Linked DNA regions of Arabidopsis thaliana. The protein of the gene in region 3 purifies or fractionates together with the protein of the main gene of each other region. This does not show direct contact. Each region holds a gene or a part of one and is shown on either strand. Other genes may lie near its edges. The genes, in order: AT2G25670, AT1G76810, SYP21 and EMB2296.

Region 1 (5,394 bases), on a different chromosome or scaffold from region 3:
TATAACTTAAATCATAAAATGAGGGGAAGGCATCGAAAAAGGTATCTTCGATTAAATAAAAAAGGTACATGCAGAGGCCTGATTAAGGGCATTCTTATTATAGCGAGTTACTTTCTATAGATTTAAGCATAGTTATAATTCGATTCGTGTTTGAATTTTTCGCAACCTATAGCTAGTGCTGCCGCACTGTTTTCAGCCTATTTGGTTAAATGGCGTTGTAAAACTTTTTCAAGCTGGTTTATCTGGGCTTATAATATTTTACTTTGAACCCAAACTTTAAGTATTTTACTATTTTCCTAATCTAGATTGTGTGTCCTGGAAATAGTCATTGATAAGAGAATATTAACCAAATTGATCACTTTAGTCAATGTGATAAGTGAAATTAATTAAGTAAATAAATTATGTACATAATGACATACCATATAAGTTATTTAAATTTACGGGGACTATAAGTTAACTAAATAATATAACGAAAATTTGCGGGAAATAAGTTAGGGAGATTTGCAAAACTACCATTTTTTTACTACCCTTTTGCAACAATACCCTTTTATGTTGTCCATTTTTAAAATCACCCATTCCCTTGAACAAAATGACCAAATTACCCTCATCCAATAGAAACATATAATTGAAACACTTTTAAACCCTTTAAAAATCTTTAAAAATCATTTGTAAATCTTTTAAAGCCCTTTAAAATCCATTGTAAATATTGTAAACCCTTTTAAAAACCCTTGTAAATATTTTAAAATCCTTTTAAAACAATTTTAAATCCTTTGAAAATCTTTAAAAGACCTTTGTAAATCTTTTAAATCCCTTTAAAATCTTTTGTAAATCTTTTAAAAACCTTTTAAAATCCCTTGTAAATCACCCTTTTAAAATCCCTTGTAAATCTTATAAAACCTCTTTAAAATCCCTTGTAAATCTTTAAAACTCTTTTAAAATCCCTTGTAAATCTATTTCCCGCCAAAAAAAAAGTTTGGCGGGAAAAATATTTTTGAAAACAAAATTTTGGCGGAAATTTTTTTTTCGAAAATTTTTGGCGGGAAAATTTTGGCGGAATATTTATTTTGGAATATTTTAGGTGAAAAAATATTAATATTTTATTTTGTTAACCTAAAACAATTTCCAAATAAGGGTAAAATGGTCATTAAAAATTTAAAGAAGGTAGAAATAAAAATGGATAAAACAAAAGGGTAGAGTTGAAAAGGTGCATCATGAAAAGGGCATTAAAAAGAATTTTTCAATAAGTTAAAAAGACTTTTTTGAATTATTTTCTATAGATTTAAGCAAAGTTATAATTTATGCACATAATGACGTATCATATAAGTTTATTTAAAATTTCGCGGGAAACAATTTAACGAGATAATACAACGAGAATTCACAGGAAATAAGTTAACAAGAATTTGCGAGTTACTTCTTATAGATTTAAGCAAATTTATTTCGGTTCTTATATGAATTTTTGACAACCTTTGTGGAATCTTCTCAAGTTAGTTTATGTAAAAAAATTGGCTAAACTATTTAACTTTTGGAACAAAAATTTGAAGAACATGACAGTTTCTTTAAGTATTTTACTATTTTCCCAATTTGAATCCTTTGTATTTCCAATAGTTTCTTTTAACCCCCAGAAATGTTTGGGCTAAACTGTATCATCCTAAAACACATTGATCAAAACCAAGAAAACATAAATTGTTAGGTATCAAAACGTAAATTAACATAACCAATATAAATTCAGAGACACGAGCTTTTTAATGGCTTCTCTCCTCGCGTTATCTCCTTTTGTCGATTTAGCCCTAACCTATACGGCTGCTACATCCAGATTTCCTCATCCTCTATTAGGGAAGAAGAACCAAAACCCTAATCCTATCTTCTCCTCTTATAAATCGCTTCAACAACAGTTTCTTTCTCTTCTGATTTGATCCATGATTTCTCATCTGGAACCCTAGTTTATACATCCATCGGGTGTTACTGTTCTTTATCTGGGCAATCAGTGGTTAGTCAAAAGTATAGGATTTTCATTTAAAGATTTGATTTTGCGTTGAAATCGAACGAACCCAGATTTCATATTTTGTCTCTGTTTTGGCTTTTTTTATCTTTTTAGGTGTTTTTGTTCCTTTTGTATATCTGTCGAGACTTCTAGGTGTGAAATCAAAGCTTGTTTGGTTTATATCGATCTTGGTTTTAGCTGAATCGTTGTTAAGATGGCTGGAGGTGGAAACAGGAGAGATGAAGGATCGATCACGATCCAGAGCACTAATTTGTTTGCAGCATTGGACACTCGTAAGAAGAAGAAGAAGTCTGACAAGGCAGGGAAGAGCAAAGGGTCTTCTAAGTCACGAGAGCCAGAGAAGGAGCCTGAGCCTCAGGTCTATTGGGCTCCTACGCCTTTGAAAGTTAAGTCTTGGGCTGATATTGATGATGAAGACGACGATGATGACTATTATGCAACCACTGCTCCTCCTCAGTCTGGTTGGAGTACTTCTCTGCCTTCCCATACTGATTCCAAAGACGTTCATGTTGAGGTCAGAAGTCTAAACATTTTATGATTTTGTTGCGATTCCTAAATTGGTTGAGAATGGATATGATGGTTCTGTGTCTATTGGTTAACGATTCTCTTTGTGACTGGGAATTCTGAGAGCTGGTTTCTGTTCTAATGTTAATTTATCTTATGCTTATGGCTCTAGTTAGTTATTACAAAAATTGTTTGTGTGTGGTGTCTATTGTCTGAGAGAAGAGGATTTGTTATTGTTGCTCATGTTGCTTTATCCTTCCTGAATATTTTTCATTTGTGTGTTACCTATGTTGTGGTAGCACATGGTTGTGTAGGTTGACTTGTGTAAGCGTTAGTTCTTGTCCAGATTGCGTGTGATTATCTTGGTTGCTGATGGGATTATCTTGGTGTGATTGTCAGGAAAGTGAAAGTGAGGAAGATATTCTTGATGAAGGTGATGATGATGTGGAGGAAGAGCAGGAACAGGAAACAGAGGTACAGGTTCATCCAGAGCCTGAGGTGAAGAAAGCTCCTGAAGTTCCTGCACCTCCTAAAGAGGCAGAGAGGCAACTTTCCAAGAAAGAGAGGAAAAAGAAGGAACTTGCTGAGCTTGAAGCTTTGTTGGCTGATTTTGGAGTTGCCCCCAAGGAGAACAATGGCCTAGAGGAATCTCAAGGTACACTTGTCTTCAATCAATTTTGACATCTGTAATAATACTTATCACGTATTGGCACAGCCATTGCAACTGATATTGCTTAGTTCCAGACAGTTGTGCTCTTTAATAGTATTAATGTTTTGTGTAGTGTCACTATCTTGCTGAGAAAATCAGCATGTTTGATATGTCTAGCAGTTTTGCTAATTCCGATACATTGCATGTTCTTTTTACAGAGGCTGGACAAGAAAAGAAAGAAGATGTCAATGGAGAGGGAGAGAAGAAGGAGAATGCAGCAGGTGGGGAGTCAAAGGCATCAAAAAAGAAGAAAAAGAAGGATAAGCAGAAGGAGGTAAAAGAATCTCAAGAGCAACAAGCAAACAACAATGCCGATGCTGTAGATGAAGCTGCTGGGTCTGAACCAACTGAGGAAGAATCTCCAATTGACGTCAAGGAAAGGATAAAGAAGCTTGCATCCATGAAGAAGAAGAAGTCAGGCAAAGAGGTGGATGCTGCAGCTAAAGCTGCTGCGGAGGAGGCAGCTGCAAGACGTAAGAAGCTGGCCGCGGCAAAGAAGAAGGAGAAGAATCACTATAACCAACAGCCTGTGCGGTAAAATCCTGAATCACCACCATTTTGATCTTGATGGAAATGCAAATATGAACATGTATTTCGCCGTATATTGTTCATATGAGTCTCTGTCCTAATAAATCTTTTGAAGGGTCTGGTTCTTAGAGTTAAAGACATTGAATCCTTTTTCTAGTCTTATTACAATGAACAGGCTAAAGACAAAACTACTCTCTGGAGATTTTCATTTCTTTTTGAAACACCTTTGTTTTCTTAATATCAGACCTTTTTTAGGTTCATTATGTCTTCAATCAGCTTCTTATGTATGGTTCGATGGTGTTATTTTCTTCTTTTTTTCGTTCAGTTGCCTGTGTTTTGATTCATGCCTTGTCACAAAATCTTTTTTGGTTATATGTTCCAAAGTGATTCCCCACTTGAGGGTAATGTATTTTTATTTTTGCAATCACGAATAATAACATTAACCTGTATTTAGTCTACTATGCCTAGTTCATCAATCAATATTTAGACTCCACCTGAACCACAACCGCACTTGATTGTGCTTCGTTAACCACACTTAAACGTGCTTGACTCGACCTAAAAGTCTCGATTTGAACCCCTAAATTAAGTTCCTTTGCTAATTCAGTCGGCCCAAGTGCTTTCTTTAACTATCATAACTCTGAACCATTCTCAATGTTAGTTCATGAATGCATGCATGATCATATCCATTATTGTGCCATTATTACCATCCCATTTCCCTTGATCAGAAAATCTCTTTATCATTGATCACAGTTGAGTTGTGTAATCCACGCACATGGTGATATGGATCAAGTTATTGAATTTCCTTTCTCATGCGGTTAAGAAGCATGTTAATCAGTTGTTACTCTTTTTTGATGTTTATATTTTCTTCTTGTTCAGAAGCATACCGTTTTGCCCAAAAATATGTGTTTGTCAACTATGAACACAAAAATATATCTTGTCTAGATTGGTCAAATATGTTCGTCTGTAATCTTTAATTTGTTATCAACATGCAAATCAAATCAGCTGTATGTATTAATATCGTCTTGAATATGTACTATACACTGAATAATTTACTTAACTATGTATAAAATATGACACATTTTTGATATGTACATATCTAGTCGAATTTTTGTAATGATATTTACTATAGGATAAATAAAGTATTACCTAAATAAGGATTTGATGTTCATATTGTGAATTTTTGAAATTGATAAAAATTTGGAAAGGTCAATGTCCTCATGGTTGGACCGGATTAATCTGGTAATCGGAAAGATATTTCGGTTCTCTTTGAGAATCGGGTTTAGAGTTATTGGTACGGCGTTATCAAATTCGTGAGTGGTTTATTGCGGTTGAACCGAACCACATTAATAAGTTGTAACAATTCACAAGTTTTAGACGCAGCTTGCTTCTTTCTTCTTCTTCCTTTCCCTATCCTCTGCATACACGAACTCGTAAGCTTCTTCGATTCTCTTCTTAAACCACTGATAATCTCTTTCTGATCCCATTCTAGAAAAACTTGACCTAGATTAATCAGAATTGATTCGAGTTGGTTGCTGTAATATAGAAGAAACTTTTGTTTCCCCACACATTCAGAACCAATTCAATCTATGTTAAGATTCTCAGAAGTGGGTTGTCTTAAAGTCTGAAGCTTTAGGGGGCTAAGAGTCAGACT
Region 2 (8,766 bases), on a different chromosome or scaffold from region 3:
TAAAACGTTTCGGAAATATAAAGTATCATATTACATAGAGTAAAGCAATGGACCAGAGTTTAATACATATCATTCATAACAATGAACATAACATATCAATGATCTCGACAACATTTATAAAGTATAAAAGAGAGAGCTGCTTTAAAACTCTTGTCGTATACTACAAATCTTATGTATTATTTGCATTCATGCTTTTCACATCTCCATAAAAGGAGGAGCAGCTTGCTTTTAGTTACACATTCCATATTATTACGAAATCAAAATATTTGTTTTCAACAAATAATCTTATAATATACGTATATTTTGATAAACGAAGATGAGCTTTCACCAAAACTTCATGACTGTAACTTGATATTAGATGTGATAATTCATTTTTGTAAGTATTTTCCCTTAACGGAAACTCAAGATTTGACACCACAGAGAACATAGTAATTGGACAAAAACATTTATTCGAATATTTTCCTTTGTCAACAAAAATGGAAATAAGTCAAAAAAAGCATATATAAAGATGATATGTGGTATATCTCAAGACCCAAGGCTCTTCTTTCCCCTGCAATTTGCCAGCATGAAGGTTCATGAACCAATTATTCAGCACTTTTCAGGGAGAAAGACCAAAAAAAGAAAGAAAATAAACCAAAAACAAAAACTCTCTCTTGTCTCTCTTTCAAATCTTCTGTGAAGGCTTCTCCGCTAGAAGCAGGAAGACGAATCTATTTGTTCTGCATCGACGCAGACACGGCATAACAAGGCATGTGAGAGTGTTTCAAGCTCCAAAGTAGACATTTGAATCTCCTACTGTATCTTGAAGATGTTCTTCAGTTTCACTACTAGCTTCCATTCTTCCAACGATAATTCATCCTGCAAATTAGTTTGGGTTTTTGATCTACATCAGTTTTCCTATCAAAATGATGATTTAAAAGGGGAAACAAGCTCATTTTCTCCACTTACCCGGTAGTTAGATTTTAGTATGTCGATAGATCTCCTCGATATGTGACTCACTAGCTCATCTTCCATGTCAAAGTGCCTTCCAAACATCTTCTGTTCTTCAGCATTCGAACCAACAATCTGTATACCAAAGAAACCATCGATTACGAGGCGTGAAACTGAAACCGCAGCAAACATAACTCTTTTCTTCTCTGTAAGCAAAAGATTTGCAACCTTGTTAAAACAGAATGATCCAATTATTACCTTTATTGCCACCTTGTTGCCCTTCTTTGCATAGTCAACAGGCTTGTGGTTATTCTCAATCGAGGCAATTCGGCCAATATCGATGAACTCTCTGCCAGGGACGCAAATGGGGGTTCCAATCTGAAAACAAACAAGACAGATAAGAAAGTGTGAACCCTAGCACTTGTGTCATCATGGGTGAGAGTTACAGAGAATGTAGGAAATTAAAAGCATAGATACCTTAAGTATACCCTCGATGACATCAACTCCAAGGACTATTGGGTCTTTCTTATTGAACACACAGTTAGGTAAAATCTGAAGGACACATGGGAAGACTGCCTCATCGGCTGATTCCTTCTTTTTCTCCTCTTTGATATTCTCAATGTAAGCCTTAAACAGATCAAATAGATGATAGATGATATCAGCGCAGAAGATCTTAACTCCCATTTCGTCTGCAAGTTCACGAGCCTCTGTAGTAACTTTCACATCAAAAGCCAAAATTGTAGCATATTCCTTTTTTCTCTCGAGCATAACTCCTGCCTTCATTACATCCTTCTTATGCACAGGCCCTATGCCAATACCACTTACAGGTATCTTTACAGCTGGGGACTTCAAGTATTCAAGCAATGCTTCTAATGACCCTAATGTAGACGCTTGTACATAAACTCCTTCGCCACTTTTGTCAATTCTGCTCAAAACCGACTCCATATCTTCCATAGCCGACTCCTTAATTGCCTCGATGTCATCATCAGGTCCAACCACATGCAGGGCAGTACCAGCAATTGCGTGTTCAAGGCCCTTTTAAACACAACCCAAAAATGGTTCAGGATGTGATCTAAACATAAGTATATTTAATAAAGAATATAGAAGTCCATTTCACCTGGGCAGTAATCTTGATACCCTGTGCAGCCTTTATTTCTTTGTAATGCAGATAAGTACCCTGAAACATCAGACCAGGAATTCTCATTGTGTATAGAAAAAGAACCTAGGAAGTGATTTGCATGAACCATATTTCTGGGGAATAACAGTAATAAAACACATGAAGTGGAAATCAGAAAGTACCTTCACCCGTAACTCCTTCATTGGATGCGGGGTCAGTAATGCTCTAATTGTTGTGACAATAGGTCCCTGAAATATGAGGAAGAAAATATGATCACTTAGAAAAGTTCTATGTCTACCCAGTGCCATCACTTGTTCGGGTCTGGATCATAAGTTTTTTACTTGCCTGTAGCCCACAAACGACGATTTGATCACCTTCATGGAGTTCACCGTTTACCAACACAACATCAATCGTTGTACCATGGCCTTCAATAACTTTGACCTCAAGTACAGTACACTGTTCAACAATTTCAAGAAAAGATCAGAAATCCGCATGCTGAAGTATTGCAGAAACAAGTGTTACCTAAAGAGAAAGGAAAGAGACCTGCACTTCGTCAACATATGTAAGTTTCTCAACCATTGTTTTCTGAGCCCATTGAACCAACCACAGCAAGAGATCTGGGACCCCTTCTCCACTGTAATATCAAGAACCAACGTTACCCAATTACGTTTAGGATGAATAACTTGTCTGTTACGCTGTATATTACAAACAGTAAATAGAGATTCATACCTAATAGCACTAGTAGGAACAATACTGAAAGTGTCTCCCATGTCTTTATTCTTGTAATAAAGCTCAGTGTTAAGTCCTTGCTCCTGGAACTCGTTTATAATCTGGAATACCAATGAAACAACATAATTTGAACAACATGTACACAAATTGATAGCTCAAACCATACAATAAGAAACTCTAGACCTATAACTTACATTTTTCAGCCTCAAGTTAAATTCATTTATAACATCTTTATTTTGCTGCTTCATTGCCTTCACGATAGGAGCATTCTTGCATGTTTTCCATCCATATAGCCTATCCACCTGGAGGAAGGTGAAGATATTATTTTCCATATAGGTTTTGCAACAGAGAAAAAAATCCCATCCTCGCAGAATGACAATTAGTGTTACCTTATTCAATGCAACAATGAACTCTGTATTCCTCATCCTCAAAAGATTTAGAGATTCTATGGTTTGTGGCTCTAACCCATGCATTATGTCCACCACCAAAATTGCAAGGTCACACAAACTTGAACCTCTTGACCGCAGATTCGTGAAGGACTCGTGGCCAGGTGTATCAATAACTAATAAACCTGGCACCTTGAGTTTTGCATCGGCTTTCAGTTCCTTGGTCCTCTCTCGGATGTTTTCAGCTGGGAAATATGTTGCACCAATCTGCTGAGTAATACCTCCAGCCTCGCCTTCCTGTACATTTGTTCCTCTGATGCAATCCAACAGCTTTGTCTTACCAGTATCGACATGACCCATGATGCAGCAAATGGGAGAGCGGAGATTTTCTTCACCCTCAATAGATTCACTTGGAGCTAAGCCTTTACCCTTCTTAGAGGCATCTTTTGCTCGGGTAGCACGTTTTGTCCGTGTAGCATCTTCCACTTCAGGTGTAGCTTTTACGGCAGCTATTAGTGGTTTGCCTGTACCTGCTGGTTTAGCTGTTGGTTTTTCAGCTTCAGGTTCTGTGTAGAAATGCAAAAGATTAGACAAAAATCAGACAATGGATGGAACACTAGGAAGAACAAAGAACTAAATTTTCATACTAACCTGAATCATGCGCCTTTGATATAGCATCCTTTAATTCTTTCTTAACCACAGGCTGAGCTTCTTCCTCCTCGTCATCAAAATCACCTTTAAGGTTAAGATCGACCGTACCCCAGCTTTTCGCATCCCATTCATCTTCTTCGTCATCTTCCTCAACCCCATTTTCCTGAGCTACATCAGCAGGTCCTGAATTTTCGTCTGTGTTTACTAACTCTATTAAATCAACCTTTCCAGTGTCTGTTAAACCCACTTCACCTAAAGTATCTTGTTCATCTGCTTGATTCTCTTTTGGCTCTACCTCATCTTCCCCCTGAACAGAAGTGTCAATGCCTTTCTGGCGAGATGATTTTTTCTTGTTGGCGTAAATGGGACGCTTTGAGGAAGTAGCATCACCATCATTATCTGCAACAGGAAGACCTCCACCAGCAGCAAGTAACTGGTTCTTAAAAGCCTCCCTCTTTTGAGCTTCAGTCTTTTGCTTTGCTGTTAGAAGCTTGCCCTCTAGCTTCTTCCTCAACAGTTTCTCCTTTTCCTTTTCCTTTCTCTTACGCTTAGCCTCCTCAGCTTGAGCCTCAAGCTCTTCCTGCCTGCGGCGCTCCTCTTCCTCCTTCCTCAATTTTTCTTCTTCTTCCTTCTTTTTTCGCTCTTCAGCTTCTTGCCGACGAGCAAGAGCCTCTTGCATCTCTCTAACATGTTTAGGAATTTTCTTCTCTGCTGCTTTACCCTTTGCATCCTTCTTCTTCGGCTGTAGTGGCTCAGTTACTGATTCTTCTTGTTTTTCCTCCTTAACCTCTACAGAAGAGGTTGCTGCAGCAGCAGCTGCTGCTTTTTTCTCCTTCTCTTTCTCCTTCTTCTTTTTCTTTTTCTTCGCAGCAGCAGTCTCTTCTTCTCCTTCCTTCTCACCAGCATTCTCCACAGGTGCAACTGGCTCAGGCTGAGCTGCTTTCTCTTCTACAGGCGTAGATGAAGCAGGTCTTTCAGCAGCAGGGGTTTCTCCAAGTGCTGCAAGAAGTTTGTCCAAATCTTCCTCTTCCTGTACTGTCCTTCCACTCTTGTTATTCTTCTTCTTTTTCTTACTCTTTCCAGTTTCCACAACCTCCACATTCTTAGTATCAGAAGTTTTAGTTTCGTCTGCAACTGAGTCATCACCTACTGAGGCCAAAACACTGCCGCCCTTCTTTTTAGAAGATTTCTTCTTACCTGAAAACGTTACTTCAGGGCTCTCTTCATCTTCAATTGTATTTTCGTCGTCTCTAGAGTTTGAAGCATCAGTCCCTTCTTCTTCATCGAGCAAATCAGCGGTAAACGAGTTAGTGTTCTTCTTCGAAGACTTAGATGACTTCTTTTTCTTACCAGAGAAGGTGATAGGAGACTCTTCTTCCTCATCTTCGTGCACTTCCTCTGTATCATCATCATCACTACCAAGTGCATCAAAAGCTGAAGCGGCAAATGAATTACCGCCTTTTTTACCCTTCTTAGACGCATGCTTCTTACCCGTAAAACTTATAACTGGCTCATCATCTTTGTCACCATCAGATTCATTATCCTCCTTCTCATCTTCATCATCAAGCAAGGCAAAGCTAACAGAACCACCGCCCTTCTTACCTTTCGACTTCTTCTTCCCAACAAAAGCTATCTCAGGAACATCGTCTTTCACCCCCGCAGCCGAAACCTTATCAGAAAAATCATCATCATCATCCTGCTGCGTACCCTTCTTATTACCTTTCTTACCCTTCTTCTTCCCAGTGATAACAACAACCTTCTCTTCCTCAACTTTAGACTCCTCAGACAACTCAGTACCTATTGAGTACTCATCGTCATCAATTTGAGCACCTTTCTTCTTAGATTTAGTAGCACCAACGAGAGATGACGCAGGAGGTTGCTGCTCAGCATCTCCACCTCGAGCACTCGGCTTCTTCCGCCCCATTGGAAAATTTCAGGTCTGGTTCAGAATTGGTTCCGAATTCTTCCGACTAATCAATAAATCGAGGTGAAATTTCCTACAATTCGAACGGAAACAAATTAGGTTTTCTGGGATCGGCACAACACAATCCTTTTAGAAAATGAAACCACAAGAGAGACGAGGAAGCGATACTGTGGCTAAGAGGAGAGAATCGAAGAAGCTTTACCTTATTCCGGAGAGGAATTAATCGATAGGCTGAGCTAAGTTTAGAGAGAGAGAGCGCGGCGCGGAGAGAGAGAGAGAGAGAGAGAGAGAGTAGAGAACCGAGAAATAGCGAAGCTTTGAGAAACCGGCGTGAAGCTTCCTAGGGTTGAGCTAAACGCTGTGTAGATTTTACCGATTCTAATAAAAAAAAATTGTGACGTTTGTTAAATACTATTTTTTTCTCCGTTTTCTTTCTCGATAGTGTTATTTTTTCTTTTAAAATAAAAGATATGTCATATTCTTTGTTATAAAATGTAATTTCTGAATGGGATTCAACAGTTGTAATTTTCACGTTTTAATATACTGAAATCTAACTTATATAATTAAGACACATAAATTTTATTAATATGGACTAAAATAAGGGAAATCAGCATGATTTAGCTGTTTAAAGTATTCATTTAAAAAAATAATCTTCTCGCGTTATGATTTGTTTGAAATACTTTTCTAAAACATATCCGCATCCAATGTTTTTTGTTTTTGGAAGTTTTTAAGAGAGAGCTTTGTTAAGGCATGAGCTTCTCGATTCGTTTCTCTAGGAACAAAAGAAAACGTAATTGCTTGAAAAGACCTAGGATTGCCACTCGCGTGCAAGGGAGATTGCTTGAGACCGGGTTTCTCTCGGAGAGTCGTGGCGGTCGTTGAAAATTTTCTAGTTTCGGGCAAGTCAGTGAAGTATGATCTCACTCCAGCTCAGGTATCATGGAACATGAACCTTTGGCTTATCTCTGATCTTGACTCATCTCTCTCCATCCTCAACAATGGACACATGCTTCTTTAGCTGACTTTTGTTAGATAGGCATAACATTCATGCTTGTGTGGTTTAGTAGAAACACTTTTCGACTGTCTATGATTGATTCAGCCATTCAGGTGAGAACGGGGCAGATATATTATTCCTTTTTCTTTTGCTTTTGATTTTGTGAATTTGGGCTTGTTAGAAGAAAATGATTAATGTTTGTAAATTGGGTTTTGAATATTGGGCTTGGGAGAGGAGCTTTAATAATTGGGCTAATAATGGATTGGAATTAGAGTTGAGAAATTAGATTAAAAAAAGGATTAGATTAGTGATGAAGTAAGAGTTTTTGCTCTCTCTCAAACGGCTCGCTTTGATTACTCACGTAAGGTAAGCTTCTTCGATTCTCTCATCTCCTGTGTCCTTTGTGCCGATCCTCAAAAAAAACTAATTTTTTTTTACCTGGATTGATTGATTAGCCGGAAAGAATTTGGAACCGGCTCTGTAATTTATCCATGGGTCGGAAGGAGCCGAGTTCTCGAGGTGGAGATGATGAGCAACCACTTGCGTCATCTCTCGTTGGTTCTAAATCTGATAAGAAATCTGTTCAAATTGATGATGATGAATACTCAATATGTCTTGAGGAGCCTAAAGTTGAGGAAAACAAGGTTGTTATCACTGGGAAGAAGAAGGGTAAGAAAAGGAATAAGAAGGGTACGCAGCAGCAGCAGGATGACGACGATGATTTTGCTGATAAGTTTGCGGTGGAGGAAGAGGTTGTTCCGGATAATGCTTTTGTAGGGAATAATAAGAAGTCGAAAGGTAAAAAAGACGGTGGCTCTGTTAGCTTTGCCCTGCTTGCTGATGAAGATAACAGGGAGGAAGCAGAGGATAATGATATCACGTTTTCAGGTAGGAAAAAATCATCTAAAAAGAAGAGCAGCAGTGTCTTGGCCTCAATAGGTGATGAAGAAAGTAGTCAATCTAAAACTTCTGATTCTAAGAGTGTGGAGCTTGTAGAATCGGCAAGGAGTAAGAAACATAAGAAGAAGAACAAGAGTGGAAGGACACTTCAGGAAGATGATGATTTGGACAAGCTTCTGGCAGAACTTGGAGAAACTCCTGCTGCTGGAAAGCCTGCTTCCGAAGAAGAGAAAGATCAAGCTCAGCCTGAGCCAGTTGCACCTGTAGAGAATACCGGTGAGAAGGAGAAGAGGAGACTGTTGAGACTGCTGCAGCCAAGAAAAAGAAAAAGAAGAAGGAGAAAGAAAAGGAAAAAAAAGCAGCTGCTGCTGCTGCGGCAACCTCTTCTGTAGAGGCTAAGGAGGAAAAACAAGAAGAATCAGTAACTGAGCCGCTACAGCCGAGGAAGAAGGATGCAAAGGGTAAAGCAGCAGAGAAGAAAATTCCTAAACATGTTAGAGAGATTCAAGAGGCTCTTGCACGTCGGCAAGAAGCCAAAGAGCGAAAAAAGAAGGAAGAAGAAGAAAAATTGAGGAAGGAGGAAGAGGAGCGCCGCAGGCAGGAAGAGCTTGATGCTCAAGCTGAGGAGGCTAAGCGTAAAAGAAAGGAAAAGGAAAAGGAGAAACTGTTGAGGAAGAAGCTAGAGGGCAAGCTTCTAACTGCAAAGCAAAAGAGTGAAGCTCAAAAGAGGGAGGCTTTTAAGAACCAGCTGCTTGCTGCTGGTGGAGGTCTTCCTGTTGCAGACGATGATGATGATGCTACTTCCTCAAAGCGCCCCATTTATGCCAACAAGAAAAAATCATCTCGCCAGAAAGGCAATGACACTTCTGTCCAGGTGGAAGGTGAGGTAGAGCCAAAAGAAAACCATGCTTTAGGTGAAGTTGGTTCAGCAGACACTGAAAAGGTTGATTTACTAGAGTCAGCAAACTTAGGCGAGAAATCAGGAGGACCTGCTGATGTAGCTCAGGAGAATGGGGTTGAGGAAGATGATGAATGGGATGCAAAAAGCTGGGATAATGTTGATCTTAAAATCAGAGGTGATTTTGACGATAAAGAGGAAGAAGCTCAGCATGTGGTTAAGAAAGAATTTAAGGCA
Region 3 (5,516 bases):
CACTAATCAAAAAGAAGAAAAACAGTATGAAGAAGACATTACAGCATGAGGGGCTGCTGGTGGACTGTAGTTGGGAGCCAACTCAATGATGACTGATTGATCGGCAATACTCGCTCCCTGAAATAACACCCCTTGTTAGTAATGCAAATTGCAAATGGTCCCAAATATTAGTTGTAAGCAAACTAATTTTACTTATAAATACTCAGAGATACTTTGTCTGGACTAGAGAAGTATAACCATATTAAACGAAGGTTTATAGACATGGATTGATTACTAAATTAACAGTGTTATGTAAGAGTTGAATGCTACTACAATAATATTGAGATAAGAGTGAACCCACAGATAAGAGCACAGCAGTCTCTGCTCCTTGAGTTTCTTTAAATGTGACATAAGCACTATGCTCGTTACTGCTAGTTAGAAAAAGAAAACAAAAACAAAGCTCAGAGTCAGTAAGTTTAAGAGAACTGTATCTAAATTTGCTGAGAAAAAGCTTCGGAAGTTAATTGATCAAAAAAAGCTTTAAATGTCAAAATTTTGAAATCAAAGAACAAGGAAACAATATCACTAACCTTTGGATATCGATGCTTTCAACTTCACCAGAGAAAGAGAAAAACTCTTTAATATCATGCTCAGTTGCTCCTGAAGAGAGATTGCCAACTTTTACTGACCTTACCTGTGACTGTCATCATAAAGAATCAAAAGGGAAAGAATCATTAACGAAAACAATAAACAGGTGTTTCATGAGAATGTTTACAGTACAACTACTTTTTGTATCCAAGCATATCTAATCGACCGAAAGTCCCATTTTAATCAAATCAGCTCAAACTCAAAGAAGCCTAGATTTATCACAAGATTATACAATTATGCAAGTAAAGGGATAATATTATAGTGGCTTAGAAGATGACTGTCATCATCTCACTATACAAAAAGAAAACTCGAATGAACCATGAAGGCTACCAATTAAGGAAACTAATCGACAATGTATGGAGGAATCTAAAAGTAAATTGGCTAGCGAGATTCGGTTCCAAATTGAGAATAACACAATCGCGATTTACTACGATAAACGAAAACCAAAACCGAGAAATCAAGGAGATAATAGAGATAATTGCACGAATACAGATCACACAGAGATACAGAATCAATTAATAACGACAATAATAATCATCAAACTCGTCCAAATAGCATTGGAGATATTATGTCGGCAAGTGCAGCAATCAAACAACAGATCATCCAAATTGAAGAAGAAATCAAATCAATAGCCAAAAATATCAATCCTGAGAAAATTTCCCGATAAACAAATGGATCGCAACAATATCTACCAGCAGAGGAAACCTAAACCTTTTCCGCATAAAACAAAATTATACACAAAAAAAAAGTAGAGCATACCGCCATGGATGTTGATCTTCGAAGTCGCGCAGAGAGAGAGATATGTAATTTGTTGCTTTTGTCACGCAGATTCAGAGATTGGCCTGAAAACCGAAACGTACTTCGAGATCGATGATGCGTAGATAGATAGAGAGGGAAGAGTGTATTTTGCTTTATATGACACCTCACACTCAACGTGTGGGTTTGCGTTACGCCCTTTAATCCTATTTTAGTCCCTAATTGTTTCCAACAATTAATATTTTCACTTTTTTAGTATATATTTCTATTTTTTCCCTCTTCAGTTCAAAACAAAAGTTAGGAGTTTCGTAACACAATTATTAAGTTTATGTTTTATTAGAAAAAAATACATAAAAATTTTACTTTTTATCAACAAAAATATATCATTGTTTTTCTATAAAAAGTGGTTTATGTATCAAAGTGATTACTGTAATTATTAATTCAGTCATAAAATATGATAACTTGGTAATTACAAAAAAGTTGGACTTCTCCTTGTTTTTGGCCCAACTCTTCTCTTTTCCTTTTACTAAACTCCAATGTAGCCCAAAATCATTTAACCAATCCTTATCCTGCAAACCCACTCAATTGGTCCGGTTTACTCGAACCGAGTTTCAATTTTACACGGAAGGGCAGGTGAGGTCAACAACGACACGCAGGATTCTTCCCTCGCAATGGCGTGTCACCGCCAAATAATTTATACGTATTAATAAATTCCCTCCACCACCATATTCACGCGGACCACATGAGATTAAATGATTTATACAAATTATAAAACAAAAATTAACATTAAATTTTGGGAAAACTTATAATTCACCTAACTCATTTCCATCATCTTCGTCTTCGTTTGTTCCCCTGAGATAGAGATAAGAGAATTTCGAGAGATTCGAGAGAAGAGACGATGAGTTTCCAAGATCTCGAAGCTGGTACTCGATCTCCGGCGCCGAATCGTTTTACCGGTGGGAGACAACAGAGACCTTCGTCTCGTGGGGATCCATCTCAGGAGGTCGCCGCCGGGATTTTCAGGATCAGCACGGCTGTCAATTCCTTCTTCCGCCTCGTTAATTCGATCGGAACACCTAAAGATACTCTTGAATTACGAGATAAGCTGTCAGTAGCAATTCTTAATCACACTCTTCTTCTCTTTGTTAAATCTCTGTTGATTAGGGTTTTGGTTTTACTTATTGATTTTGGTCGATTTCATTTCAATTTTTAATTGAAAAAGTTTTCTAATTGTTTTGAAGCTAATCCTGCATTATTTTCCCTTAACCGAAGAACAAATTTGAGTTTGCTGATCGATGTGAGACAACATTGCAAATAATGCCTGACAACATTGCAAATAATGAGCTTTTTGTGTGTGTGTGTGTGTGTGTGTGTATTGAGAAATTGTTTTTTTTTTAGATTGGTTTCATCTATTTGTTCTGTGAATTGTTTTAAAGTGTTAGGTTCTTTTGTTGGCAGGCAAAAGACAAGGTTACAGATATCCGAATTGGTGAAGAATACTTCAGCTAAACTTAAGGAAGCTAGCGAAGCCGACCTTCATGGATCAGCTAGTGTAAGCAAATGCTTACTTTTTTGTTTCATTCCCTTACGATGCTATGGAATGTTAGTGTCTAAGAGAACATTTTCTATTGAACCAGTTTTATTTTGGTTTAATTTTGTCAGAATCGTACCATTTTATTCATTTAGTGGGAGAATTGTTTACATGATTGATGATATGTGTATTCTAGTTTTGATGTTATGTTTGTATTCTTGCAGCAAATTAAGAAGATAGCTGATGCTAAACTGGCAAAAGATTTCCAATCAGTTCTCAAAGAGTTTCAGAAAGCTCAGAGACTTGCAGCTGAAAGAGAAATAACATATACTCCTGTGGTCACAAAAGAAATACCTACCAGGTAACCACTTTGACCAGTTATGTTTCAATACCTGTTAAAAAACAGAAGATCATGGTAAATGAATCTCGTTGTTTCCTAAATGAGAAGAAAAAAAGTCTCCGGATTATATACTCGCATGTTATTATTGTTGTTTTGTACAAAAGAATTTTTGAACGTAGGATTGTTCTGATATTTTGTGGAATGTGAGTTTCACTTACACATGCTTCATTGTCATGCCACACCATGCAGTTATAATGCACCTGAACTGGATACTGAATCTTTAAGGATCTCCCAGCAGCAAGCTCTTCTTCTACAATCAAGAAGGTGAGGAGTGTGATTTGATTATATGCTAGCATGTTATTTTACTAATTCATTTGATCAATTATAAGCATAAACCAAATGTTAGTCTAGCATGCATTTTGCTCTCGAGAGTTCAAATTCAAACCATCGTTACACTTGGCACTCACTGTAGCCTGAATTGTTAATAGAAGCCTTAGAATAGGTTAATAAATTTTTCGAAGTTGGTTATGTCCCTGGATGCAGGGAGATGCTTGCTATTCGCTAACTTTTTATATTCTCATTCCAGGCAAGAAGTGGTGTTTTTAGATAACGAGATAACATTCAATGAAGCAATTATTGAGGAAAGAGAGCAAGGGATTCGAGAAATTGAAGACCAGATTCGTGATGTGAATGGCATGTTCAAAGATCTAGCTCTTATGGTGAACCATCAAGGAAATATTGTCGGTAAGTAACTCCAAACAATCAGAAATTGTAAATCTCCCTGTTCGTTTTCTCTTTGCCTTTTTAAAGTCTCAGAAAAAAACTATAATGTGCACTGGCAGATGACATCAGCTCTAACCTTGACAACTCACATGCTGCAACTACACAAGCCACTGTTCAACTCAGAAAAGCAGCTAAAACTCAAAGATCAAACTCCTCTTTGGTACGGACTAAACAGACTCTCTTCTCATTTTCAGTTCTGTGATTTCATATTCTTAGCAGCTTAAGCTAAGTTTGTTGTCTTTTACTTTGTTGCAGACATGCCTACTTATTCTCATTTTTGGGATTGTTCTACTCATTGTCATCATCGTTGTCTTGGTCTAAGCATCAAACATATAACTCCAAGCTTCAATCTTCAAGCATCAAGCGAATCTATGGAAACTATACAAAGACCCATTAAAGATATATATCTAATGTACAGATTCTTTATACTCCATCTTCCCCATTCAACCAAATTGATCTTAACTTCTCATCGTGTGAATGTTTAATCAATGTATTACTCCATCATAAGGATCTTCATGATCAAAAGAAATAAACATAAGAAAATAATCTTGATTTTTTGGTCATTAACCGGTCAGTGACCAACAGATTACCGTACTAGTGAGATGATAATTGAACAAGATGAACGTTTTCACACAAAAGTATAATATAAACAACACAAAAACCGATCTCTACTAACTATTCACAAGCTTGGTGGTAAATCTTTTATGTTTCTTCTCTCTGTTTTTTTTTCATTTAAGTAAAAATGTAAAGGGTATACACACCATCTGATATATTCCTCGTTCCTTCATATCTCCTTTTGCAACCTCCCCTGAAAATCTACATTGTGAGAGACAATTGATAACTCTCAAGATATACAACAATGCAGAGAAACATGTTTGAACTTAACGATGTTCTTACCTTTATTTCCTCTGTGCTTCTGAGGAAAGCAGTCCCATTTGTTCAGTAAGATACTTCATTTGTTGTTCATTACGGGTCCACTCGTTTGGTTCTTGTTCCAATACCAAGTCATTATTCTCCACTGATCCTGATAGAATATCGTCTGTATCTGCAATCGCTGGGAGTTCAACAGAAAAGAACTGTTCCCAGAATGGATCTTGGATTCCGGGCAGCTTAGGGACTCCCTCCAGTAACTCATTCATCTTGCCCTCACCTTCAGGAGAAATTGCATCGCCTTCTGACTCATCTAAAACAGCCATTATTGGATCAAAACACTCTCCACTATCTGTCTCGCATCCAACTAAATCAAATTCAGGGCTCCAAGAGTCTGCAGGTGCTGCTCCTTGAGCCGGACTTTGACCTATATTTGGCTGAACCAGACCAGCTTGAGGATGATGAGCCAAACTTGCTTCGGGTACTTGATTCGTTGCTGACTGAACTGTGTTGGGTGAAAACTCGGCCAATGTTACTCCAGAAACTCTACTTGAAGGGTTCCCATTGTCTACAGAGGTAGAACTGGGAACATCACCCAATAGGAAACTG
Region 4 (4,691 bases), on a different chromosome or scaffold from region 3:
ATTATCCAATAATGGTGTATGTATGATCCAATTATCCAAAGGAGGCGCATTGAAAACCCTTGTGGGTTTTTCAAGGTTTTCCGGCTAACGTGCTTCCCAAGGTGTCTAAAATGGTGAATTTTGTTGGATTTTGAGCCTTTGATCAAACTTGCAATAAGTGTGATGAAGATGAGAACCAAAGCAACAGAAGAAAAGAGAAGAAGCGTCGGAGATGAGACTCGTGAAGAGAGGAGTCAACGACAAGAGAGAAGTCACGATACTGCTTCTTGTATTAAGTTGCTCCCTTTCTTTGCTGGTAGAAGCCAGTCTCAACTCTTCTGTACAGTTAGTGAAAATACAGGATCTGTTCAACATATATTCAAATGTTATAGATTTGGGCCAAACAAACAAACTCAAAGATAACCAAACAGCTCTTTTACCTGTATTGGTTACCCACATCAGGACCTTGTCCAAACACTTGTCTAGAATCATGACTAGAGCAGAATACATCTAAGAGCCGACGATAACCAATTATCCTTGGACCATATTCAACCTGGAAGACAATTATAGAGCAAGAGCAACACAAATCTAGCTATTGGATCAGATACTAAAACCAATTCCTCAAAGTCTCAAACGCTAAAAATTGATGGACAAAGACAATTTAGGTAAATCTCAATCACATAAACACAAATATTACACATTACCAAAACTCAGCTAATCAACTATAGAATCAGACTTGTATTACGCACATAAATGTCTTTGAGTCCTCTGTGTCATTTTGAAGGTTTGCTGCAAGATTCGTTTTTAAGATTCCTTGTAATTTTTTTTTAGGTACTTCAGATTGCTTCAATTCGACTAACACCAAAGACTTGATTCTTTGTGATAGCAATGCGGCGGGCTGCTGTTTCGATGAAAATCTGCAATTCAACTACCACTTTAACGATCACGAGAATTGGTTACGTTGTTCTTACATAATTTTCATATGTACAAAATGAAAACTTTGCGTATTGAGAGTATGCAATGTGAATAACATAAGCTTTTCGAGAAGAGAGAAAGGTTTATCATAAAAATCTTTTAGGATTTCAGAATGAGGTTCAAAAGGAAACACAGACAACAAAACTTGAAACATAGAAAACAAGAGAAACAAAGTTTATCTCTTTTAACTCTAGTCTGCCTTGGCAGCTGAAGCAGCAGCTTGACCTCTGAGACGACCAGTCCTCCTTGCAGCAATAAGACCAACCTTCTGTCCAGGAGGTGCATCACGCCTAACAGTACTGGCGTGACCAATGTGCTGATGGTTACCTCCTCCATGAGGATGCTCCACTGGATTCATAGCCACACCACGAACCTTAGGCCATGAGTTCCTCTTCACACGGTACTTGTGGTACGCGTTTCCTGCCTTGAGCATCGGCTTCTCAGTTCTTCCACCTCCAGCAACTTGTCCAATCATAGCCCTGCATCCACTTGGGACAATCTTCTTCGAACCCGATGGCAACTTAATCCTGCGCAAACATATACTCAAATCATCATTCACAAGACTACAACAACTATACCACAAGCATTTCTAATTAACGAAATGATTCCATTAACATCATCATAAACTACACTAAATAACCAATGATACATAAGCATTTTCTAATTAATCTGATTAAGATCATCATAATCTACAACAAACAATCAACAGATCTGAAAATGTTTATAAGCCTCAGAAGATTTTTGGATAAGAGAAACAAACCTAGTAGTGTCGCTGTCAGGGTTGTGAGCGATAACAATGGCGTAATCACCAGAAGCTCTAGCGAGGACACCACGATCACCGACGTGATGCTCGACGTTGCAGACAACAGCTCCTTCAGGAATAGATCTAAGAGGGAGAACATTTCCAACGACGAGAGTAGCTTTCTTACCGCAGTACAAGAACTGACCGGTGTACATACCTTCGGCGGCGACGAAGAGCTCCTTTTGTTTCTTGAAACGGAAAGGATGACGGAAAGTGACACGAGCAAGAGGAGCACCACGACCAGGATCGTGGATGATCTCCGTCACGACGCCCTTGAGGTAACCATTTCTCTCGCCGAAATCGAGGCTACGGAACTTAGCCGGACCTTTGCGGTGGTGAGTGTGGGATTTGAAGACGGAACCCGCACCCTTACGTTGAGCTCTGATGACACGACCCATGGATGCTCTCGACGGCGAAGTTCAGATATTAGGGTTTTGAGATCCAACTTGAGAGTGAGGAAAATGAACCCTTTTTATTCTGCAACCTCATGTTTGTTCTAACCCTAATGGGCCTAAGTGGATCTTTATTTGATATGGGTCAGAAGAATCTAAATGGTGTAGTAATTGTTCAAACCCATACAAAAGACCGAGTTAAGAATCACAAAGGCAGGCCTACCAAACTAGACTAATCCGGATGCTAACCAAATCATATTAGAATTTTTCTTAGAAAAACCAAGTTAAAAAGCCCAACCCAGATTTATCCGGATGCTAACCGAATCAATATCAGAATAAATCATATGAATATAATTACACGATACCAGAATAACTAAATAATTGTTAAGAGAAAAATAATAAAATGAATGAAATATATGAATAATAGATATATATGATTGAAAATTTAGTTTTAGTAGATTCATCAAGTTTTTTTTTTTATCATATTTTTAACACGTTATATTACCGAATATTTTTGCTGAAAATCTGTCGAAAAGTTGCTTAGTATTCTAACGGATTTTTGACAAGTCACAACGAAATATTTTGGTTGGAAAGCCGTCAAAAATATTTCATCAGATTTAGTTTAGTCAGAATATCGTTGGAAATTATTGACGAATTTTTGATCATTGGAATCCGTCGAAAATTTCGATGATTTTTCAACGAAAAATTTATCGTCAAAAAATAATTAAAAAAAAAAAAAAAGTCAAATATATCCGACCTTTTATTTATCATCAGAAATTTCGTCGAAAAAAGTTTTATTTACTTATAGTTATATATACAGTATAATCACTTTTCAAGAACGTAAATTCTTAATAAATACTTTGAATCGTAAAAAGTAGCAAAATCATGTTTTTCAAACGTTAAAACGTGAACAAGTGGTATATTATTCATAATACTTAAAAAAAATGCGTCTCATGATAGTCTGAGTCATATGATAAATATATAGATTGATATATAAAATGATGATAATGCAATTCTAATTTTGGTGATGGTATATCACTAGCATCTAATAATCAATAATGTCAACACAAGAACATATTTAATGCAAAAACCCTCTCCAAAATAACAATAAACAATTCTTTGGAGAACACATAATATGGGCAAGCTAGCTTCTGAGCAGACAAATACGGGCAAGCCCAAATTGGATGTTACTAATACTAACCCACGGTTTGTACTTTGTCCAATCCAGATTCCGATTTCAGGTTAACCCGGCGAAAACCGAATCAAATTAGAAAACTCATAATATTTTCTTAAAAGTTAAAACTGATTTGAACTTTAGAATAAGTTAATATCAAGCTGATTATAGATTTTTGAGATACATATGATAAAGGTATATGTTCTATAATATGATGATGATGTATGAAACTGGAAATAATTATTAAGCAACTCGAGTTCGTCGTCGATGATATATCCACTAGCATCTATGATGTCAACAATAACATATTTAATGCAAAAACCCTCAGAAGAAACAATAAAAAATTGTTAGAAGAACACACAATATGGGCAAGCTAGCTTCTGAGCAGACAATGCATTTTTTAAATTGTTATTACATATAAATTGTCTCGTGAATACGGTATGGCAATTTAAATCCAGATATATGATAGTAATGTGCCTTGAATAAAGTCTATGAACATTTCATAAAATACAAAAGTTAGAGATGAAAAAAAGTGCGAGACTAGCTCATCAAAAAGAGGAGAGACTCATCAAGTAGACTGGTATTAAGGAATGAAGAACATTAATGTTAAGTGACATATTTTGCAAATGATACCAATCTACTTTGTTAGGACATGATGGTTTAGCGGTCTATGTACCATCTTGTCAAATACACATGTATTTCTTCTTTTACGAGAAACATAATGGGACATCAAATTAGTTCATCTATATTACGGAAGATCTCTTCAATTTTTTTTGTAGCTTAGGTAACAACTATAAATTCGCACAGATACAAGTATATGTAGGGACTCTGGTTGGTAGGACCATAATGATCCATCACAAAAATCTGACTCAATATAATTGATATATACACATAAAATCTTTTGAAATACTACTTGCTACGTCTACATGTAAAAGGAAATGAGTCAAATTACGGTGATTGACACACCGACAAATAAATATTGAATACACGTATAGCAAAACTTTTGTGTTGAAAGAAAACAAAACAAATTGTTTTATGACTCGAGTGTTTTATGATTAATCTCGTAACCTGTATCTTAGTAAAAGAGAAAGTATTACTTTTATAAAGATGCTAAGTAATATTTCTATCATTACTTTTGTCAAATGATGGACACCGTGATACTTTGTCATACGAAACTATGTCTTTGTAATTCTAAATTTTTCGAAGAAATAGAAAGCTGTTTACACATGATTAGTTAGTCTTAGTCACAAATTAGGTTAAGAACGTGAGTTATGAATTGTTGGACCATTCATGTACTAATTTTTTTTATAAAACAACATTATATATTACGCGGATTTTAACTCGAACGATGATAACACATAAACATCGT

What was found.
Region 1: the proteins of SYP21 (region 3) and AT2G25670 purify together in Arabidopsis thaliana (affinity purification with mass spectrometry, with the first as the bait; one large-scale study listed by BioGRID). This does not show direct contact.
Region 2: the proteins of SYP21 (region 3) and AT1G76810 purify together in Arabidopsis thaliana (affinity purification with mass spectrometry, with the first as the bait; one large-scale study listed by BioGRID). This does not show direct contact.
Region 4: the proteins of SYP21 (region 3) and EMB2296 purify together in Arabidopsis thaliana (affinity purification with mass spectrometry, with the first as the bait; one large-scale study listed by BioGRID). This does not show direct contact.

Annotation. Positions count from the first base shown.
Region 1 is NC_003071.7:10,927,421-10,932,814, reverse strand, and holds AT2G25670 (uncharacterized protein), read left to right. Parts: upstream 1-1,724; 5' UTR 1,725-2,195; coding exon 2,196-2,516; intron 2,517-2,905; coding exon 2,906-3,161; intron 3,162-3,373; coding exon 3,374-3,753; 3' UTR 3,754-4,229; downstream 4,230-5,394.
Region 2 is NC_003070.9:28,830,574-28,839,339, forward strand, and holds AT1G76810 (eukaryotic translation initiation factor 2 (eIF-2) family protein), read right to left. Parts: upstream 6,176-8,766; 5' UTR 5,940-6,175; intron 5,811-5,939; 5' UTR 5,738-5,810; coding exon 3,814-5,737; intron 3,729-3,813; coding exon 3,166-3,728; intron 3,079-3,165; coding exon 2,971-3,078; intron 2,878-2,970; coding exon 2,777-2,877; intron 2,682-2,776; coding exon 2,591-2,681; intron 2,504-2,590; coding exon 2,393-2,503; intron 2,296-2,392; coding exon 2,230-2,295; intron 2,108-2,229; coding exon 2,048-2,107; intron 1,966-2,047; coding exon 1,408-1,965; intron 1,309-1,407; coding exon 1,189-1,308; intron 1,066-1,188; coding exon 949-1,065; intron 859-948; coding exon 793-858; 3' UTR 329-792; downstream 1-328.
Region 3 is NC_003076.8:5,531,918-5,537,433, reverse strand, and holds SYP21 (syntaxin of plants 21), read left to right. Parts: upstream 1-2,138; 5' UTR 2,139-2,281; coding exon 2,282-2,490; exon of another isoform or gene 2,491-2,841; coding exon 2,842-2,935; intron 2,936-3,138; coding exon 3,139-3,275; intron 3,276-3,503; coding exon 3,504-3,578; intron 3,579-3,840; coding exon 3,841-3,998; intron 3,999-4,096; coding exon 4,097-4,197; intron 4,198-4,292; coding exon 4,293-4,358; 3' UTR 4,359-4,588; downstream 4,589-5,516. Other genes in the region: BPA1 (binding partner of acd11 1), read right to left, coding at 43-117, 341-410, 570-679, 1,387-1,392; HSF3 (heat shock factor 3), read right to left, coding at 4,937-5,516. UniProt on the Arabidopsis thaliana protein: May function in the docking or fusion of transport vesicles with the prevacuolar membrane.
Region 4 is NC_003071.7:7,834,614-7,839,304, reverse strand, and holds EMB2296 (Ribosomal protein L2 family), read right to left. Parts: upstream 2,239-4,691; 5' UTR 2,155-2,238; coding exon 1,715-2,154; intron 1,482-1,714; coding exon 1,145-1,481; 3' UTR 829-1,144; downstream 1-828. Other genes in the region: AT2G18025 (uncharacterized protein), read right to left, coding at 309-343, 420-489.